Linked DNA regions of Styela clava. The protein of the gene in region 1 binds, or shares a complex with, the protein of each later gene. Links are inferred from orthologs where the notes say so. Each region holds a gene or a part of one and is shown on either strand. Other genes may lie near its edges.

Region 1 (7,857 bases):
ACACTAAATGGGTATATATATCTGCGTTGACTTATAAACTTAGATAGTATGACGTCACTATTTTCGTCAGTTACTCGAGCATCAAGTTTGCGAGGGCGGATCGAATTACAGATGTGTCGTCTGAATATCAAAAAATAAACGTGTTATCTGATGAGACGTGACCTAAGTTTTTCGAAGGATACTCACCATTTTAAGTTAAATGGTTTCGGGTAGCTTGTGCTACCCTCGGGGTGTGAGATGTAAGTCGGTGTACTTTGTCATTGAATACTTTGTCATCACCTCTAACGATACGCCAGAATACTAGGACCGAGTGGGTTCCCAATTAGCATCGATACAAGTTATTGTGAATGCCAAATTTTATTTTCAATTGTCTGATCGGAATTAACCCGTTAACTGTCTAATATAGGCTACTCTGTATGATTCCGACTGATTGAATGTTAAACTCAAATATCTAATTTTGTTCTGTTTTCACTTGGTATATTAGGATAGGATAAGTAGTTCACTATGTTGCGCTTTGCCATTACTGATAAAAAGAATTGTTTATTGCTCTTGATATTTTATTTGATACGATGGAAAGCAAATCGAAAAAAAAAAAATTTAATAGGGCTTTCCGTCCCGTATACATATTATCTGTAAGTTAGGGCCGTTGTATTAGTCCAAAGTCTGAGAGTTTGCTAACCAGCCAATTCACGAGGAATGTCTCTATTGTATTTATTTTATTCGGTCACAGTGTGGATCTAATTTGAAATAAAACAACCACTGTCATTTATACAAAAAGGGGTTTTTAATTTTTTAAGACCCGAAATATATTTGGTTAGCGCGCCTTATAGGTTGGTGGGCACTAATATTGAACCTAAGACCTGCTATGCGAAAATGTGTCACGAGAAGACTTCCGCTTACTTCTGTAGATCATTTTCTGATGAAATATTCTCATGTATATATATAAGGAAATTTGATAGGAAATGTTTTCTATATACTGTATATGTATTAATAAAGTATATTGATGTAAGAACGTGCACGTGCGATTGAAGGTGAACAAGAATAAATATATATTGTCCTCGACAGACGTCTCAACAAACAATATATATGATTCCTGAATTTAAAAAATATTGTAGCAATAAGAGGATGCATTTTCCTCATTAAAAAAATGAAAATTAAATGTGCTTGCATTTTGGATCGAATAAAACTATACACTGGTTTATTTGACAGATGACTGTTAGTTTAGTTTACAGCGATCTAGAATGCAAATTAATTACAATAATATAACAATGAGCTCATTAAAAAGTGCGTTATCAGCAAATCTTTTGTGATCACGATGTTGTCCCCACAAGCCAAATTAATCATTGTGCCCAACATGGCTCAGTCATCATAGACACGCCACTGTTTGGGTATCTCTCAAGTCCATGCACCGGAAAAAATAACTGGCTTACTACTCCGATCACCATATGATTAATCCGTCTTATCGGCTTTCTTTTCCCCTTGAATAAATATGTAAATCCTCCGCCGCTGGGGTAACATTCTCCGCGATTTCTTTGCCTTTATATCGCACGTGTTTGTTTCTATTCAATATTATAATTCATATTATTTCATCATTATTCATTGTGTGGTTTGTTGTTTTATATTGTAAACTTTTGAATTAAATACGCCCTCTTTTTCAAATATAGCACCCAATTTCAACTGTTTTGAAGCTAAACCAGTACCGAAATACTTCGCTGTCTGTTGGTTACGATGTTTCATTCGCGCTACGTAATCCCTAGGAAGATGAACAATTCCCTGAAACTTTTCCCCAATAAGATGGATGAGTCTTTCGTGACCCCTCATCAACTGCTGTAAGTCAATGTTCACCGTTTCTATTTTTCATGTGGATTATTGCTTTATATTGATTCTTACATTGTGAAAATGAATATCTGTATCTATAATTCATATATATACATGAAACTGAGCCTCCGTTTTTCCAAAAAAACGTATTATCGGGACATGACATTCATAATATATACACAAAATCAAGTTCCGGGGGAGACGCAAGACTTGCGAAGGCATGAACGAAATAACTTCTATTCATTTTGCATTCATTTACTACTGGGGGCTTTTGTGATAAACAATTGCTAATATGCAGCTGAATAAAACGATATATTCTCATACACGGGATCAGTAGTAATAGTTTGAATCCATTAGCATAAACTCACTCTGCATCTAGGATTCTATGTCCAATAAGTATGAAGTTCAATTCCGATCCTCTAAGCAGGGGTGGCCAACACGTCGATCGCGATCGACCGTCGGTCGTTTCATCCTGAGTGGTCGATCGCGCCTGATCTTGAAACGTAACAAAAGACGTAAAAAATTTGTTTTAGACCAATATTCAAGCGGCGCCTATTTTGTGTTCCGAAGAGGCGAATACTGTGCGTGTGCGAAAGACGTTATGTCTGGCGCATATTGGACAAAGCTCGTTTTTACGTAACAGTTTACAAGTTTCGTCACTGATAAATATAAGAAACAAATGGGCCGACTTAGACCAATGAATGTTTCACTTCGGTATTATGTGGAAAATTTTGTTAATTCTGGTGTATAAAAAGTAATATTGGTCACCGTAGCTGGACATTAGAATGACCATATTCAATGTTAATTTATATCAATTCTGAGCGTACCAGACAATTCCGGCGATTCTGCGTGAGCGGTAATACCTCCACTTTATTTTTTTAGGTGATGTCCCCAATTAAAATCGCATAACTTTCCTTAATATCTCCATGAGGCAGATAACGTCAAAATTTGACGCATACGTCAACGCAAACTACGATGAACCCTTTCGGTAATTATATTCACCGCACTCCTAGAGAATCGTCTCTCATTGGGCAGTGAAAAGGTCTATGTCATAATCAGAAATAAAGTAACCCAATGAGCGATTTGACGCCTAAGTTGAGAAACATATAATAGCTTTGCAAAGTCCAACTAAACGATTAGGATTGTTAGGCCTAGAACCTAAAATTTAGTGTAAACTAAGTTCAGTTCAAAGTGGGAGGATTATTAGAAGGATGGCACTCGATAGAAACATCTTTGGTTAGGGTACCAAAAGTACAAATAGTACAACAGAAGTCTTACCATATATCACTTTCTACTTTATGCCCTTGTTGTTGTTGTTGTTGTTGTTGTTGTGAGAAATAAATAGATTTTCTAAGCATTTAGTCCTGGCGCTACTCTTATATGAGAGCAGCGTGTACACGCTTCGTATGACATCCGTTACAATTATTTTGCCAGTGTGCTATCATTTTGGTATTTATAGTTACAGTGTTCCAACCAACGACCGGTTCCAACCCAATATCTAAGAACAATTCCAAAGTATTATCCTCTATAAAGTCGAATTATGTTTTGGATTTGATAACGTGGTTCCACTTGAGTGGTTCCTTGGGAGAGGCTTCACCTTCCGTCTCCTTGCTTAGTTGTTGCAGTGTCTATTCGGCTGGTTGGACATCGCGAGTGATTGTTTGCGTATAATTGAAAGTGTAGCCTTAAAATTGCCGATATTTACCGCACTGAATTATCAGTTTATAAAAAATAGTTTTGTGACAGATCCGCCAAAGTTTACATTGCTTTATACAGTAATATTCTGGAGTACCGGTATCACAAATTTTTCACTTTGATTTTTAATACCCTGATAGCGGTACCAAACAAAAATAGAAGTCCCGATTTAAAAGTGTATTGTGTTTCTAGTACATATATTTCGGTGGAGTTGTGTAACATAGGAAAATAATGTTTGGCATTGAACATTTTCTGAGTTTGATATATCTATATACTGATATACCTGTATACAGATAACGGTAGCAGTTTTTCTGAAAATATTGCACTTATTTCGGTATTACTTCTGATATCTACGTCGTAATACTGTAATAGATGAGACTTACATTTTTTTCTATAATCCAACTGAAACTTGAATTGTATCTTATCCTAGGGCTAAACCAAGAACAGAAGAATAGGGCTGTAGCAGTAACAAAGTGATGAGCTGAAAAATTGGGGTCTCATGTAGTTTCTTACCTAACATACTTCTAGTGGGTGTAACATGACAATTTTTCTACATATCAATCCTAACCCCCACCTGACCACACCATCCAAAAATTACGTCACTACGACGTCACAGTGACGTAATAGAGCCCTTCAAACTATGTGAACTGTCATCCAAGACGCGCAGACGAGAACCCGAAATCGAACAGCCATTTCTCTCGTTTTCTCGTCGCAACGATCCCGATAGGAGAGAGGTCGTTGACGTCAGTCAGTTCTTTATCGTCGGCGCCGATGCTATTTCGGGCGATCGTACAAGTATTTGGCAAGCTCTATGACGTGATTTTGACGTCGTAGTGACGTAATTTTTGGATGGCGTAGTCAGGTGAGGGTTAGGATTGGCATGTCAAAAAATTGTTATGCTACGCCTACTAGAAGTACGTTAGGTACGAAACTACACGAGACCCAAAAATTGTAACGAACAAACCTAATTCATTGAAATGTGAAAATAAAAATGTTTTTTTGGTACAATGGCATAAAGTTCTTCATGACATACCAATGAAAATTTAACCAACTAAGGAATCATAGTAACTTCAGAATTCAAAATCGAGAAAACATTTCACATTGCATTATGTATAAAATTTGCTTGTTAATAAAATTTAGAATGAAACTTTGTTAAGCTATGCTTCCTCAGCTACCACGCTCCTATGCCATTAGGATATCAGTATTGTGTGTTGATGGTTTTTGTTATGTATTAACAATAACTTTGTCATTTGGTTTAGTAATTTAGTAGAATTTGCTCAACATTTCTCCAAGATGATTTTGCTTGAAACACAGAATCGAATAATATCGGATACTTTGACATATAAATTTGAATGTGCAGTAGCAGGGTAAGCTTATTTTTTAAGTTAAATTATTTGTTATTTTTGAAGTTTCAGTGTTACATTTTTATTATTATTTTTAAAGGTCTAAACCAGAATCAATTGATTCAACAATTGCCGATTTTGATGGAGTGTTATATCATATCTCGAATCCAAATGGCGATAAATCAAAAGTCATGGTCAGCATTTCTTTGAAATTTTACAAGGATTTGGAAAACCATGGAGCAAAAGAGGTACATTACTTTGCAGTGAAAGAAATAAACCTTTTTGAGAGTGTGGTGAATAGTTTGGGACCTTTGTGAACAAGACTTGTTATATTTTATGAATTGAATTATGTTCGTTTCACATTTGGTTGTTTATATAATATTGATTACTAAGTTATTAAATACAGTAAATAAAATTATTCTATTTCAGCTTCTAGACAGAGTCTACGGATGTTATCTGACTTCACCTGAGTCTGGACACAGTGTCTCACTGCTCTATGATCTTTCGAACATTCCTAAGGATCACGCCAAAATTGTTGCAGATGTACGTTATTTCAATTCAAATTTTTTTTTCAATTTTCAGATGTAGAATTTACATTGGTACCAGAACAATTGACATTCCCAGTACTTGTTTTTCTAGGCTGCAAGTTTGAAAAGGAATTGTTTTGCATCTGTGTTTGAAGAATATTTTGAAGCACAGGTACAAGGGAAACAAGTGAAAAGAGCTGTCGTCAACTACAGAGATGATGAGACGATGTACGTTTTGAGAAATAATACTCGAATTATACTTTAAGTCTAATTTTTGAAAATACGCCAAACTAGATATTATGGGATATAGTATTTATGTTAGAAGACTCATAATACAGTATAAATACGATTTATTTATGTTTGCTTGTATTTTATTCAGGTATGTGGAAGCTAAGAAAGATCGTGTTACAGTGATATTCAGCACTGTTTTTAAAGATGATTCTGATATCATCTTTGGAAAAGTATTTATGCAGGTAATTAAATTAACATATGAACCTAAGTATAGGTAGGCCATATTATGTAGAATTATATCTTTGGCCATTAGAAAATAATAAAAGCCCCATCATTTGCTGCTTGTTAGGAGCCGTCTTCACAGAGAGAAATTGTGACAAAAACACCACATAGCATATTAGCTATTTACGAGTTTATCCACACTTTTTAAGTAAATATTGAAGCAGGAAGATATTTGAGCGCTCCAGAAGTATGTGTACCAATATGTAGGTAACTAATTTTATTCGCCTACATCAAGTTGTATAAAGGGACTGAAAACTATGGGCAGGGGGTATATTCGTTAAACAGACAGTCCCTGAAATCGTAATAGAACTAAAATAAGGAAAATCAGAATAAAACTATGGCCTGACCCTAACCTGGTACACACACTATGGGAGTGCCGATGTTTGACCAAGTATATTTGGATACATGTTCCTGAATTGTACTAGGAATCAGTCAGGGATTTGTATTACTTAAACATGATATGCAGGCTGTATGAAATATTGTAATAGGAATTCAAGGAAGGCCGCCGAGCAAGTGCCAGTGCACCCCAGGTTCTTTTCACTCATAAAGAACCTCCACTGGAATTGAAGGGACAGGATGCTGCAGTTGGTGATAACATTGGATACATTACTTTTGGTAAGATTTTGTTTCCTTCTGCTAAAATCTACTAATTCCAATTGTAGTTAAGTTCCAATAATTAAAACTAAATCAGATATTGTATTATGTAACCCACTACACAGGAAATTTATTTGATCATTACAATTATAACATAAAGCCATTTACCCCTCAACATGGCTGATCAGCTTCTATATCAATGCCCAAATTTTTCTAGGACTAGGACACTGCTAAGCATTCTTTTCATCCTTATTTTTAAAGTTTAAAGAGGCTGTCTGAGTGTCAACTGTCATTATGGATACATAAGTCTACAATCGCAATTCTTTTTCTACATTTGCTGAAATCAAATATTGTGTAGCTGCTATGTATGTTTTATTTGTATTTCTAGTTCTGAATACTCGACACACCAACCCTGCTAATCGTGACAATACAATTGATCTCATCCACACATTCCGAAACTACTTGCATTATCACATCAAGTGCAGCAAGGCTTACATTCACACAAGAATGCGAGCAAAGACTTCGGATTTCCTTAAAGTTCTCAACCGTGCCAGGCCTGACCAAGCAGTAAAAGAGAAGAAAACAATGTCGTAAGTTAAGAGTGTATCTAGAAATGGGGTGATTCTATTACCGGTTTATTTTATTTTGTTGATTTTGCTTACATCAAGATTTAATCAGTATTAATATACCATAATCGCATTTTAATTTTTTTTTTTAGTAACAAAATTTATGCAGTTTTGTGATTAATGAAAAATTTTTTTATATTATTTTGAGATTTTTATTTGCTTCTTTGTTTTTATTGTTGAATTGTTTTTAGTAGCAAATTTAATCATAAATGCTGATTGCAGGCTTTTTTTTTTTAATTGTGATTTTATCCCTAATTTTTGTTTTGCATGAACAGAGGAAGAAGTTTTTAATGTCAACGAAATGCACTATTTTCATTGTTTGAAAGGTTTGTATTTGCACTTTTTTTCTGGAATTATTTTGCTGCTTAAAAAATCCTAATGATTACATAACCAAGAAATTTTTAAGTTGATTTTGTTTTCCACATGTTGGAGTTGTAAACATTATGCTTCTGGGATAATCGGACTGTGAAGTCAAAGTTCAAAAAGTGACTCAGAATTCGATTTCCGGCTCGGGACTACCGTATAAAATTTTACCTACAATAACTTTGCTGTTTGCTACCTTTTTTATTTCATTCCGAAATCTTGACTGAGGACTCTTAGCATTCAGAAATCTATAGTTGGATAGTGTCTGTGGGCAGTGAAATACATTTAGATTTCTGGTTTCAAAACCAGGAAAAAGCACATAAAACTATCGAATGAATAGGGTGGCCATTTCCTGGGAAAAGTTGGACTAGCAATTAC
Region 2 (7,369 bases), about 6.7 Mb from region 1:
ACATTTCCAAATGCCAAATTATGTTGTCTTATGTGAAAGCAAAACAAAAATGAATTGAGCTATCATTATATATATATATATCTGCCAAATGCAGTCCATAGACAGGGTGACCCAAGAAAAATAGAACCTACGAGTTTCTCGAATACTTCTAGGAAAATGGATAAAAATTTGAAACTTCTGTTTTCGTATGATTGTACCCAAAAATTTCGGTAATCTAGAACTATTTGCACAAAAGTTATGTTCTCTCTGGAATTTGTTCAAAATGGGTTCAATTTTTTTTCAGTCATCTGTAAGATGCATGCTTGCTTCAAGGTGGGAAAGGCACACTAGGGGTGAAATGGTTATCTCATTGGAATTGTAACAGTTATTAATAAACATCTACAGCAGAAAATACAGGGTAATTACAAGAAAATTAAAAACGGAACACATTATTCTTGGATAATATAAGAATCACCGATAAAAGTACACAAAGTGCTGTAAACCCTATGTTAATCGTATGTGAAATAATGATGAGAATACACAAATAACAGATTGAAATAAATTACTGGCAGTTGGCCACTCAAAATGCTGGATATTCATCAGAATTGAACATTAAAAGCAGCTTCGTATTTTACTAAACTTGCCTAGATTGAATATGACAAAAGTAGCTTGAACAGCAAATGATAAAGTTGACTATATTGGATACAAATCAAAAGCAATTTAATACAATTTTGGACAGAGATTTGATCCAAGATTGTAAGCCAGAGTTCCCAAACTGGGTGGGGGACCAGTTTTCGAGGCGCCAATGTGGAAAATCCTGTTTTAGCTTTTATATTATTTAATTTGGTACACCAAATAACTGATACAAATCAAAAACAGATCTTTGATAAATTGAGAAATACCTAAAAAGCTATAGAACATAAAATAATGTAAAAAATACACAAATTATTACGATATTCATTTTCTAAATTAATAAGCTATCCATGAACAAAGATTCGAATCAAGTATGTCATGAAGCAACAATGGAAATCCAAATAACTTTATTTAAAAGACAATATTTCAACTGAAAAAGCACTAATATCCAATTTCTGGTTATCAAGTTTAGAATTAGTATATCATAATATGTGAGCGTAACTTCAAATCCTTTGAGATTTAACAGATATTAAATTGTTTAAATGTATATAGTTCAACTGAAAAAGGAGAATTATCCAATTTCTAGTTATCAAGTCTAGAATATCATATCAGTAATATGTGCGCATAACTTCGAATAGGTTTGCGATTTAACATAGATTATATTGCCTAAATGTCTGGAATTTCTTGTATAAGTGAGAATTTCAATCTGAAGACATTTCTAGATATTATTCCATTATATATAGCTCGGCTCAAAGTAAGACGACCGAAAATTATTTGGCCCAAGATTAACAAAACTGCACCGGGCCTACAAACTGTTCGATATATTATTCAAGTCTTAGGAATCATTCTGAGTATATAACATGATTATTTGAATATCTCGACTCAAAAGTTCAAGTTTATCATTTCAGTTTGAAACAATTTGTGAATAAGATTACAAAAGATATAAGTATAAGCAAAGTACATGGTTTGAATCAATTTTCTTCCTATTTTTGAATAGAATTAAGTCCAAATACAGTAGGTATTACAATCATGTAATCAAGCATTCTCAACTTTGCTTCAACTGAAACAATAACTTTATACTTCAAAAGTTCTTTGAGTTATGACATAGTGCCAAATACGGGATTATGGCGACATATACTTGGGCCGTGCTCATCGTAATCTGCTTTGGTGTGGCACACTTGATAAAATTCAGGCGTTGATGCGAGCATAGATCCGCCAAACCATACAGCATATCTTTGCATGCTATGTGTGACCACTTGTACTTCCATTGGCTTTGGTTTGATTCTACCTCCGCTTAATTCTTCAGACATTTTCAGCCTTGCGTCGACGGTGCGCTTTAAATCTCGTTGCAAACGACGGCCAAAATCTTTGAACATGGTTGATCCTCCAGACAGCACGACATTTTTGTAAAGCGGCCTTCTGACATCAATAGGACAATTCTGAATGACATCATCCACTACAGTAGAAATTGGAGTTGTAAAATCGGGGTTTGAGAATTCAGGGTGGAAAAAGATTTCTGGTCCCAAGAAGCGCTCATGACCGACATCAACTTTAAATGACTGCTTCGTAACTGCATTTTTTGATTCATATTGCTTCACCCACTTGGCTGGGTCAGAGTCATATTTCGCAAACTCTTTTGCAATATCAGGACAGATGTATGAATATCTCTCCTTGATTGCTTTTGCTGTTTCCATCGACTGCTCTGGAGGGATGCCAGTTTCACGTTCCCGGAGTAATTGCTGGATGAAGTAAGTGATGTCTCGACCTGCGATGGGGATATGTTTGATGCAGCTGCCAATAACGTAGCCTTCAGCTACAGGGATTACATGGGTCACTCCATCTCCACTGTCAATGACTGTACCAGTAAGAACACGCTCCCCAACAGCTCTCGACGTCCAAGACGCTGCCAAAGCAAGCACGGCTTGTACGGCGATGTATAAGCCTGGAACATTGAAGGATTCGAACATGATTTCGGCCAAGTATTCGCGATTTTCTGGGGTGTTCAGAGGAGGTTCTGTCATGAGGAAATAATGATCCTCAGGCTCTGCACGTAAATACTTAAAGATAATTTGCTCCGTGAAACGCTCCATTAAATCCCAATCTTCTACGATTCCATGACGAACTGGCCACTTGGTGGCATAATTGGGTTTATCTTGGGCTTCATCCCCAATATAGAAATCAAGATCATCGACCCCTTTATGAACTTTATTGCCGACTTTCGCGGTTTCCTTCACAGCGATAGATGAAGGCATGATAAATTGGGGCTCTGTGTTTCCAGCAAAGCCGAGCTTTGTGTAACCTGTACCGACGTCCACCACACATGCTGGTAATTTGCTTGCCATAGTCAAAAATATTTCTATCACAATCAAAAATATTGAAGCAAACTGCCTATAGTAAGTAAAAACAAAATAACAATTTTGATTGCTTAAGGAAAGGGGTCTGGTGTAGTTATCAAGCATCACAAGTACTTCTAATGGGCTTGTCATAACCATTTTTACATATGTTATTACTAACTCCCATCTGATTATGTCATGCAAAAATTACGTCACTATGACATCACAATCATACCATATAGCTTGCTAAAGTATTTCTACGATGGCTCGAAATAACATCTGCGCCGAGCCGCCGACGATAATGAACTTACTAACGTCAGCAATCTCTCTCATATCAGACCCGTTACGATGAGAAAAATAACTTGCTCAACTTAGAGTAATTGTAAGCACGTTTTGTAAAAAACAAAGAGGATAATTCATGTTACAGAAGGAAAGATCTACAGAAAAAAGATCTGGACATACAGATTACTGATGAGAAATAAAGTGATTGTGAAATCATTTCGTTTATATGAAATAAGTGCATTTAATTTTCATACAGTCATATCTTTCAAAAGGTCCAAGTCATTTGTAATTGTATATTTCAACTAATTTTAACAAGAATAAATAGATCTGCTCCATAATTTAATTATTGCGCAAAGTTGGTTTGTCAATTCATGCCGATGTTTGTCAATTCATGCCAAAACACAAAATGTCTTGTAAGAGGGGTTTGCACTGGCTGCTATAATTGATATTCTTCTATTCTTGGAATCATAGAACGATAGGGATATTTTGATTTAAAAATTTCATCAAAATATCGACGTTACGATGCTTACGCAGACAACGAGATTCCATTTCACTCCATTGATGGCCGACGTCACATTGCGTAGCTCGTGCGTAACTCGCTGCAACATTTGAACGCCAGACTATGTGACGTGTAGTAGTGTGTAGTGAAATATAAAATAAAAGCTCCTACCTGATCCTAGTCAACAAATCCTACAAAAACTTCATTTATTCATAGTGAGTCCGTTTAATGCACATCAAATTTGTGCATTTATATTTTTGCATACATTCTCCGACCGTATACAGATGTTGTTGATACTTAATAAGGCTGATGAACAGCCAGTTATGCATAAATATACTATCACAATTATAAAGTATGTCTGTTTACAATCGGCCGATGATGATATTTTACGCGCAGAATGTTCCAGATATCTTGAGTGTAGAATGTTCCAGAGGTGAACTCTGCACAGGTGTACACAGCAGGAGGTTGGACCACATACAAATAATAAAAAAAAGGTCGCAAAATTAAAAAAAAAGGTATCAAAGTTTCTTTTTGCCGTTTTTATCCGTTTCTTGTCATTTGGCTTTGTCTATCTGCCTGTGAATACAGTATTTCTGAATTATCAACACGATGCCAAAGCGAATGTACAACTCCTGCAAAAACGAGAACTTGCAAAAAGCTATGGATGATGTCAAAGCAGGAATGTCATATTTCCAAGCTGCTAAACGTCATGACGTAAAAAGATCAACGTTAATCGATAAAATGAGGAAGGTTCACGCTAAAAGTATCGGTCGTCCGACTGGATTGACAAATGAAGAGGGAAAAGCGATTTGCAAAGAGCCTCGAAAGTGTTGCGCGCTGAGGCTTTCTCATGGGGCCGGAGGACATTAGCAACAACGTCAAAAGATATCTGGACACAAAGGGAGTTTGCTCTACCAGATTCCCAAATAACAAACCTGGTCGGAAGTGGATAACCAGTTTTTGCAAGCGACAACGGTTATCTAAACGAGTTGCTTCAAATATTGATAGAGCACGTGCCGCCGTGGGCTCCTAAGAAGTAGCAAATTATTTCAACGAACTTGAAGAAATAGCGAAGCGTTTACCCGCGACTAATATATTTAACTACGATGAAACCAACCTTCGTGATGATCCTGGCAGAAAAAGATCTTTTGTACCAACCGGCATTAATAGGGTGGAGATGATCCGCGACTTTTCAAAGAGTTCTATATCAATAATGTTCTGTGAATCTGCTGCTGGAAAGCTCTTACCTCCTATGGTGGTATATTCAGCAATGAATGTGTATGAATACTGGACCAGAGATGGCCCCAAAGGGACAGTTTATGATGCAACGCCGAGCGGATGGTTCGACACAAGAACTTTCATCCGCTAGTTTAAAGAAGTGTTCATCCCATTCTGCAATGAACTTGACGGTGACAAATTGCTTGTATGGGACAACTTATCCTCGCACTTAACAATAGATGTCATCGAGTTGGCCGACAAAAACAATGTATATTTCACGTGCTTACCTCCAAATAGTACGCACCTTCTTCAGCCCCTCGATTGTTCATTTTTCGCTCCCTTGAAAACCAAATGGAGAACAAGAATAGCTGATTGGAGGACAGAAACACGGATTCGTGGATTTCCAAAAGATCATTTCCCGCTTTTATTGAATCAACTTTTCGTGAAATCAGAAGAGACAGCGGTGAAAAATTTAAAATCATGCTTTCGGGTTTGTGGAATTCATACATTTAACCCCCCTCCGTTGTGTTGGCCAAACTGCCAGCCCAAGAATCTACATCCATCGAGAGTCAAGAAATTGATCAAACGACATCTTGCCTCATAGACTATTTGAAAACTATACATGAAACGAGCGGAAGTCCAAGCAAACGTAGGCGAGGATAAAAAATTGCTCCAGGAAGAAACCTGTGCCAGATTGATCAGCGAAAATATATTCGGAAGCCTGCAAATAATACAAACGACACACGAGAGGATGTTTGCTCAGCCTGTGGTAACTGGAATGATCCAAATGGTACACCAGAAATTGAGGACCAATGGGTTGGTTGTGAAACATGCAAAAAAACACATTGGTTTCACATTAATTGCTGCAAAGACAGATCCAACCCGTGTGGAAAATTTTAAGCATGTAATTGCCACAAGCTTTACTGTTCCATATTGTTTTCCATTTCCACTTTCATTTTTCTACTTTTACTACTTACTGTAATTCATCATCCGTTTTTTTATTATTTTCATTCATTTCAATTTTGTTTTGTATTAAAAATTGTTTTCCATTTCCACTTCCATTTTTTACTTTTACTACTTATTTTATTCGTCCGTTTTTTCATTTTCATTTGTTCCATATTGTCTCATTTTTGCTTTGTATCAAAACGATAATAATAGCAAATTATCACTTTAATGAAATAATGAATAGTCAGTAGTAAATGGTTTAGTTTTGCGAAACGTCAGGAATGACAACAACATAGATGAACGTCAGTGTGCGACACGCAAGACGGGTCACGGCATCGTAAGTTCTACGCAGCGACGTTATCACGCATCACTGATCACGCAGACATTTCTCTCTCACGACGAAGTGACGCAAAGCGAAAGGTGGCCATCTAACATTAGAAAATTTTGGAATGAAAATCAGCAGATGAATAAAGTCAATTATTTCAATGAAAAAAGGCATTGATAGATATGAAACAGAGTTTACCGTGACGACAAAGGCTTCAATGTATTATATTCCAAGTTTAGCTTCAATTGAATAATAAACGGCGGAGAAAATGTTCACAATATAGTGAAATCATCTAAAGCAAGCAAGACCCAAAATTACCTCTACTTTGCTACTATACCAGTATACAGATTCAGCAATTATTGAAATATCGGGTATAGTTTAGTACCACATGCACTTTAAGTTGGCCTGGCTCAACAATTTTTGCATATGTCAATCCTAACCCCCACCTGACTACGTCACTGAAAAATTATGTCATTTCGTCGCCACAGTGGCGTAATAATGCTTATAAAAGTATACTATCTCCCAAAATACTAGACCCGAAATATCTTCATCCTACTTACTGTCCTTACCTTTCAGCATAAAACCTGACGGGTATAGTATAGTTTAGTACCACAAGTACTTCCAGTGGGCGTAGCATAACGACTTTTGCATATGTTATTCCTAACCCCCATCTGACTACGCCATCCAAAAATTACGTCACTACGACGTAACCATCACGTCATAGGGATTGCCAAAGTACAATTACGATCGCCCGAAATGGCATCTGCGCCGCCGATTAGAACTTGCTAAAGCCGGCGATCTCTCTCCTATCGTGATCGTTACGACGAGAAAACGAAAGAAATAGCCTGCTCAATTTCGGTTTATCGTCTGCGCGTTTTGTACGACCATCCGCATACTTCGGTGAGCCTTATTACGCCACTGTGACGTCGGAATGACGTAATTTTTCGGTGACGTAGTCAGGTGGGGGTTAGGATTGACATATGAAAAAATTGTTGAGCCAGGCCGACTAGAAGTGGATGTGGTACTAAACTATACCAGACCCAACCTGACTGCCTGATGAGAATTTTATTTGATGAAGTGATTGCGACTACAGGATTACTAGCCTATACTGCTATAGCAGCCAAGGTTCACATCTATGGTTTACAACAATTATAT
Region 3 (7,686 bases), on another chromosome or scaffold:
CTGGTCGAGTTACATATTATATTAACCCATTCGTATATTTCCAAGACCTTTGTAAAGGTAATTGCTTCTGGTGTTGTATTCAATCGGCATTTAAAGTTTGATTGTTGAACTCACTTTTGAAATCACCCCCGTGTATTTTGGAACGCAGCAGTGGACTTGGCTCATTTTGTTCTTTGGATTCACGATAATATAAGCTATTTAAGTTTAAGTGATATGTAGGGCTGGGCATTTTTGAATATCTTGTGATTTCAGAATCAATCGAATAATTTTTTCAAATCGAATCGAATCATGAATACTTGGAAATATATGATTTTAAGCGACATTTTTTTTTTATAGTAATTGGTCCTCTCAACAAATGAATCACTGAAGACATAGAATACATCACGCAGATAGATTACTGAGCGTTCACACCCAATAACAAACACGTTTTATCAATAACTCACTGCAGAGAATAGTCATATGTTAGAATTGCGTTGAAAAAATAATTATGACTTCAATGAACAAAAAATGAGGAATTCACCTAGACCAGGGTGGTCCAGGATTGGCAGCTCCCCGGGCCACAAAATTACTTTTGCATTGTTCGCGGGCCACAATAGTGCCAAAAACTTTGCTCGTTTAACTTCGCTAGTTGCCCCAGCAAGCCATAACACTAGTCAATTTAGTGACATTAATGATGCAACAATATGTCAAAAGATTTTTTTAGTTAATTTTATGACGAAACAACACAAAATGCAATTTTTTGATTCGTCTCCTAATGCGATGTGGGCCACAGATAATGAAGTGGCGGGCCACATGTGAACCGCGGGCCTGGGTTTGGACCCCCCTGACCTAGACCATTGGCGGAAAGAAAAAAACAAGATGGTAGCGATTCGAAATTTAGCTTTGAACCGATTTGAATAATTTAATATTCGATTCGATTCGAATATTCGATTCGAAATGCCCAGCCCTAGTGATATGTTTAAAAAAGCTTGGGATAACATATGACAAGCAGTGAAAAACACAAGAAAATTTATATAAAAAAAAATAAACAATTCGAATTTACGCAAACGATCATTTGTTGGAACGTGAAAACATGATGGTAGATGAATTGACAAGGGCTTTGTGGAACTCCCATCCCCATCATTATCCACTCTTTTTTTTAGCGTAAAAGTAAAACGTAACATTTCGATATTGATTGTATCAGTTGTATATATATATACATTTTATTGTGGAGTGGAATGGAGTTTATTTTGAAATTATTAAGTAACTCTAACAGTAGGCTTTTTCAGAGAGAAGTACATTTTACATTTTGTCGAACGTGATTTTGTTGCATATTTTCAAGTCATGGCTGCAATATGTTTTCTCAGAAGTCTTCGGAAAATTCAACTTTTAAAAGCCGCTCGGGTTTCCGATTATCGAACTTAAAAACTTGTGAGCGAACACGTACTACTTCTTTTATCAATACCTTTTCATTTAAAATCTGTACGTTTCAAACCTTACTCTAGGTTTTGCTCGCTTTCCCGATTCTATAATCAGTTACTTTTACTTCTGTTTTTATCTATTTTTTTATCGTCTATTGCTGATTATGGAGCCGAAATAAACTTATACTTATACTATAACTATCTTGTGCAGTTTTGGTACACAGCGAGTCCAATTTAGCTGGATAATTTCCATGAAATCTGTTTCGTTTTTGGAGTTACAAGTCATCATTGAGCTGGGTTGCGCCTACAAACAGGGGTTTGTTCAATAAATTTGCCATCGCAGTATATTATGGCCGGTAGTTGGCGACATTTATTTATAAAATTTGTGACTTATAGAACAAAACTCATCGAATAGATTGTATTTATATCTAGAGCGCAGCCAGTCCAAATTTTTATTAGGGGGTCAACGAATTGATTCATTGTCTTGTTATAGGGCATTATATTCCCTCCATGGGCGTATGTACCGAGGAGATTGCACCCATGGACGGATACCTCGAGTGAATATAAGCAGCTTGTACTGATTTTTGCATTGAACCAGATTCTGATATATCACGATAAATGGTTCCATTACATTTGAACCCGTAATTTGAACCCACGACAATTGCACCTGCATACTATTGCACCTATGAATTTTTTTTATTTTACGGATATTTGAACTCATCCTAACTCATGGATTTTAGCACCCTCATTTGAAACCGCGGATATTCGGGTGTAAATGTATGGGTTCAAGTGTACGGTCACCCGATAAATATAAGGAGTTATTTTTATTTAGAATCGATATTGCCTATCCAATTAATTGCACCCTGGATGAGGTGGAGGCATGGGATTTCAGCCCGGAATGTGTTATCTTTGATGCTTACACAGTTAAAGGCAAGATATATATATTATACGTGGAATAGCTTGGAACACTAGGTTAGAGAGTTTCTATCACAGATACATGATCTGCGATATCACTCCCGAAAAAATGGAACGACACAAAAAGCTTAGTAGTGAGGGTAATTTAACAGCTGTGAACCCCCATATTTCGTTAGTAAAAATCCACTTCAAATTTATATTGAAAACATGAAGAAAATAATCAAGACATCAAGCTGAGTACATTTGGGGCCACCACCCATACAAATTTATTCGTGGCTAGTAATTATCTTTTTTTTTTTATCGTTGGTCCTTTCATGATGACGATGAACAGCGCCCAAATCCAAAGTAATCGATGATTGCAACCGTGTCTTGAATCAACATGATAAAGATGAAAATATACTTTATTGCAGTGGTTTCCTAACTGGGTGTAATTAAACCCATTCAATGGTGCTCAGAAGTATGTCGCACAACCTGAATTCTGACCGGTACACACATACTATGTTTAGGTTGTGCGCCATCTTGGTGCGCGTCCCATTTGAGAATACTTAGAGGATAATTTAGACGTTTACTGCCTTTACAATTTCTTTTGGAATCTTTGTCCCAGCTTTTTCGAAGCACATCCTGACATCCATCTTAAAACTGAATTGGAAAATGGAATAGGGGATAGTATCATGGTAAAAAATCGAATTTCTGACTTCATGACTATAATTAAATTGTAACATCGCTAGGATTCAAGTCTCAAAATCGACCTTGCAAGGAAAGACATTGGAAAGTTTCTTGGTTTGTGTTGATATTCAACGTGACAAATTGCGCGATATTAATTTTATTACATGCAGGGGATTTGCTGGAACCGCTGCATAATGTAAGTACTAGCAATTCGAAGTCCATTTTTCAAAATTTTGTCTGTTAGAAACGATCGGGAGGGGATTTCATGACACCCATTTTAGAAAAAAGAATGTTAGCACGAATATGTTAAGCCAAAGAGCGCCATTTTTAAAAGCCATGAATTTTTTCAAATCTGAAAAGGTATTTTGGTTGATAAATTGTCAAGATTCATTCATTGTCATCAGTGTTCGACGTACAAAATCTACTTTGAGATATCATAAAGAAAAACAGCATCAAATACGCACTTGTTGGATGACATTGAATATACGATTTTGCAATCAAATCGTGAACAATATATTTTGACTGAAAACTTATTCTGAATTTATCATTGTCAAATTTTCATAATCAGCGATCTTGGTACTTCAATTACTTTTCACATTTATTGGGTCTTTACCAATACAGAGTTAGTGATATTCTCTTGAATCAAACGCCACAGGAGAGAAATTTACGACAACGTAATCATTTTTAAAGAAATTGTACTTTATGAAGATGATTTGTACCTGAGATGTCAGTTACCGATTAAAATAAATCGTAACCGTTAACTATCTAAAATCGGTTAACCATTCCCAGCCCTAGCTCAGACAGACACAGATTTTCAGGCGTGCCTTCTCGCGGTTTTGCGTGTTATTGGACACGTTTTCAGTTTTGTTTCCAAAAAATTACTAGTGAATGAAGTATTTTAATTGTCTTCATGTCTTCCGATGAGCTTTAGTTTAAAATCAATGATCAAAAATTAGTTATGGAAAAGCTGCGATAAACTAGGCTAAAATGAGCTAAAATCAGTACCAGTAATCGGCACGTGGTTTCATATTTCAATAAAAATAATGATTTTGAGCATGTAAATCAGTTTGTCAGTTGCTAATCTCCAAAACACTCGCAAAATTTAGCAATAGTAAAGTACGGTAAAGTATAAGGAGCATTTTTCTGGGTCTAGGTCGGGGAAACATCTATTATATATTTTCATTCTATTTACATGAATTTTAATTTACTATCACGGAAGAATTTATCAAACTCAAATTGCGCCATATGTGATAAACTGCCATAATAACAATAGCTGCTATGCCTGTCGCAATTGGAAAACTTCTAATATATAGTCCATATTTCAGATGTATATTTTATGGACAAATATATCACTGAACTTTAATACGCGTTTAGAGTCCGGCCTTTTTCTCGCATATGGGCTTCTATTTGTTTCAAGTATATAACGGTTAAGTATTAACGGTATATACGGGCTCGGCTTTAAGTTTATGATAAACACAACCACAAAGATATATAAATATGTATAATCGTAAATATATACTACTACATTCCCAGTTCAGTGACTACAATTGATTGCTACAACGTCATCATGCGGCGTAGTTACGGTTGAGTTGATTTTACCGGCGGAAGTTCTTGTGACATCTAGTGGATTTACATCTAGCTGTAGGGTGTTAACGTTTGTGTTTCTTTGCTGAGTGAGGAAGTTTGCGAGGAAATTATCGGATTTATTGAAGGAACATGGATTCCGCAGGCCGAAAGGTCGTTGTTTGCGACAACGGAACTGGGGTGAGTTTCATTATTAATAGTTAACATTCCGTGACTTATAGCAATACTAGCTGACTAGCCTATGCCAAGTATGTTTGTTTGCTTGATCACTTTACTGCAGGCCTCAGTTTTGACTGTCTGATGCTGTGATGACCCTCGGATCACCCACTGCCTGACTCATTCAAACATCCATTCATTACCGTATATAGCCTATTACTTATTACCAATTTTTTAACATTCCCCTTCTGTAGGCTACTGTAATAAAACACATGTTATAGCCTACCTCTATAGTATTACAGTACGGCACATTCTATAAATCGATAACATTGTCTCATTTTGGAGAATCCCATTTTGTCGATGAAGAAACACCCCTCCTTTAGGAGACGTCTGGATATTGTTGTCCCTCAATATCGGCAAAAATACAGTAAAATGAAGTTGCGCAAAAAACTACAAAGAAGCGCAATCTAAAGACGTCATAATTGAATTGCTCAGGGGGAAAAAATGATTCGATTCACCAAAAGAAAATATTTGGTTTTCATGTAGTTTCGTACCTAACATACTTCAAGTGGGCGTAGCCTAACAAATTTTCCATGTGTCGATCCTAACCTCCACGTGACTACGCCGTCCAAAAATTACGTCATTACGACATCACAGTGACATAATAGAGCTTGAAACTATTCAAACTGTCATCCAAGACGCGCAGACAAGCACCTGAAATCAAACAGCTATTTCTCTTGTTTTTTTGTCGCAACAATCCCTATATAAGAAAGAGATCGCTGACGTTAGTCATTCATTTATCGTCAGCGCCGATGCAATTTCGTGCTATTGTACGTGTATTTGGCAAGCTCTATGATGTGATTGTGATGTCGTAATAACATAATTTTTGGAGGGCATAGTCAGGTGGGGGTTAGGGTTGACATGTCAAAAAATGTTATGCTACGCCTACTAGAAGTATGTAAGTAGAAGTACGAAACTACACGAGACCCAAAAATTTTCTATCGTGGCATTATAGAATTTTAAGCGAAAATCAACAATTTTGGTCACATGATGGCCACGATTAATTTAGATTATTATCAGGACAAGCATTGCGCTATATGACGCATCCGCCGTCGTGCAAGATGCCCCTAGTTTATGAGACACATGGTGTGTTTGTTAGAGCTCGACCGATATCACTTTTTGGCACCGATACCGATAACGATATATCGGCCAACTAGTGACCGATAACCGATATTGACATACCGATATCTAGAACTCGAACCCGCAGTAAATACAAATAGAAAGAAACATTCAGTTTCAGTCAATCAAAAGTTTATGTTGAAAAATAAAGCAGTCCTACACAGTGCTTGCATCATTAATAAAAGTTTCGCAGCAAATAATAAGAACACACATTAATGCACAAGAGAAAAAAGGCAGTCAGTAAAAAGCTTATAGAAGTCCATTTTGATCCATACAGTAGTAGGTGGGAGTAGGCTTGCACGTAATTTACGGAATTGTTTGGAGTTACGGAAGGGAAGTTACAATTACGTAAAGTCGTAATTATTGGTCGAGCGCTTTCGCGTTTGAAACGTGCTCCTTCCAAGCAGCCAATTCCGTCGATTGTAAAAAATCAAAGTTTAACAAGTAGAAGAAGTTAGAGTTCCGGTATTCGCAGCCGTTTTGAGCCGGCATGACGCGTTGCCACCCCGTTTGAGCGTTTGGTTTCACGGTCAAAACGATATTATTATAAGCGTTGTCACCGTAACGCAATTAGCACCGACAGACTTTTTTGTCTTCACGATTTGGTATCTTTTTTATTCGGCACTGATAATGATAAATAAGAATGTGTGATAGTTGATTGTAATTCCGGAAGGCGTATTTTTCTTTCTCTCCGTGAAACAGACATGAAACGAATTTTACCGCCGCTATAAGCGCTTAAAAGGAGAGGAGGCTAGGCTACTTTCTTTTCCCGACTCAATCACTTTTATAAATACAAATCACAGCGCATTAAAAAACAAAATAGAATTTATTAGCATTAATAAACAACAAGTTACGGGTAAGAATTTATCGCCGGCTAAATAATTATTATTTGATTTAAATTTATCGCAAATGATGTTATAACATTTAGGCCGCGAAATGATTTGATATAAAATGAAGCTTGGTAATCGGAATATCGTCAATAATTCAGCATCAATAATTATTATAAAATGCTAACTAGGTAGCAAAGTCGGATAATGTATAAAAACGGAGCAATAACAAGTCTTCGTCGCGAGGCAAGCGCAGGTATAATCAAATGAGAAAATACGCTTGTCGTTGATTAATAACTTAGAAACCCGAAATTTTTATTCAATACGAAAGTCGATTTTAAAAAAGGCAACTATCGTTTCATAAATATCCGTATACCATTATCGGTAATGATAAAATTGATCGCATAAAATTGGGACGGTTAATTTGCGAACGTGATAAAGGAAAATCAAAGCCAACACAATTAAACAAGATAAAGATCAGAATAAATTTAATTTGAATTCACTCCTTGGTATTTGTCTTTAACATCTGTCGCCGGCGTGTAGTACTGTCGGTAATTTGAAAACCAAACTTCGATGTCCCATTCGGAAAAGAAGTGGATTCGAATGGTTTTTATGATAGGTTTAAACGTGTGAAAAAAATATCGCAATTACGGGGTCATTACGTAATCAATTTTTCCGTAATTGATTTTTGTCGATTACGTGCAAGCCTAGTGGGGACGCAAGATATTCGAAGGCGAGGATTTTGCGCCGCACGAAGAGAGAAATATAGAAGAGAACTCTCTGTTCATTGAAAGGCAAAATGAGAGAAGCGTAAAAAAGGAAAACGCTCGGCCGCAGATATTTCCCGGGGAAAAATACTCATTTTTTAGAACGTGGAAAAGCGACTAACGCTGATATATATCGGCCAGATATATCGGCCGGTTGGGCCGATATGATATATCGGCAAACACGCAATATCG

The links.
Region 2: actin-related protein 2/3 complex subunit 2-like (region 1) and actin-related protein 3 share a complex: the UniProt entries of both Drosophila melanogaster proteins name them as parts of the arp2/3 complex. The link is inferred for Styela clava from reciprocal best matches to the Drosophila melanogaster genes Arpc2 and Arp3.
Region 3: actin-related protein 2/3 complex subunit 2-like (region 1) and actin-related protein 2 share a complex: the UniProt entries of both Drosophila melanogaster proteins name them as parts of the arp2/3 complex. The link is inferred for Styela clava from reciprocal best matches to the Drosophila melanogaster genes Arpc2 and Arp2.

Annotation. Positions count from the first base shown.
Region 1 is NC_135259.1:12,805,764-12,813,620, forward strand, and holds the start of actin-related protein 2/3 complex subunit 2-like, read left to right. Parts: upstream 1-4,770; 5' UTR 4,771-4,806; coding exon 4,807-4,880; intron 4,881-4,956; coding exon 4,957-5,104; intron 5,105-5,285; coding exon 5,286-5,399; intron 5,400-5,495; coding exon 5,496-5,611; intron 5,612-5,762; coding exon 5,763-5,856; intron 5,857-6,384; coding exon 6,385-6,511; intron 6,512-6,878; coding exon 6,879-7,080; intron 7,081-7,391; coding exon of another isoform or gene 7,392-7,407; exon of another isoform or gene 7,408-7,442; intron 7,443-7,857. UniProt on the Drosophila melanogaster protein: Functions as actin-binding component of the Arp2/3 complex which is involved in regulation of actin polymerization and together with an activating nucleation-promoting factor (NPF) mediates the formation of branched actin networks.
Region 2 is NC_135259.1:19,511,094-19,518,462, reverse strand, and holds the start of actin-related protein 3, read right to left. Parts: upstream 3,021-7,369; 5' UTR 2,955-3,020; coding exon 1,710-2,954; 3' UTR 1-1,709. UniProt on the Drosophila melanogaster protein: Functions as ATP-binding component of the Arp2/3 complex which is involved in regulation of actin polymerization and together with an activating nucleation-promoting factor (NPF) mediates the formation of branched actin networks.
Region 3 is NC_135251.1:20,269,818-20,277,503, reverse strand, and holds the start of actin-related protein 2, read left to right. Parts: upstream 1-4,585; 5' UTR 4,586-4,697; coding exon 4,698-4,745; intron 4,746-7,686. UniProt on the Drosophila melanogaster protein: Functions as ATP-binding component of the Arp2/3 complex which is involved in regulation of actin polymerization and together with an activating nucleation-promoting factor (NPF) mediates the formation of branched actin networks.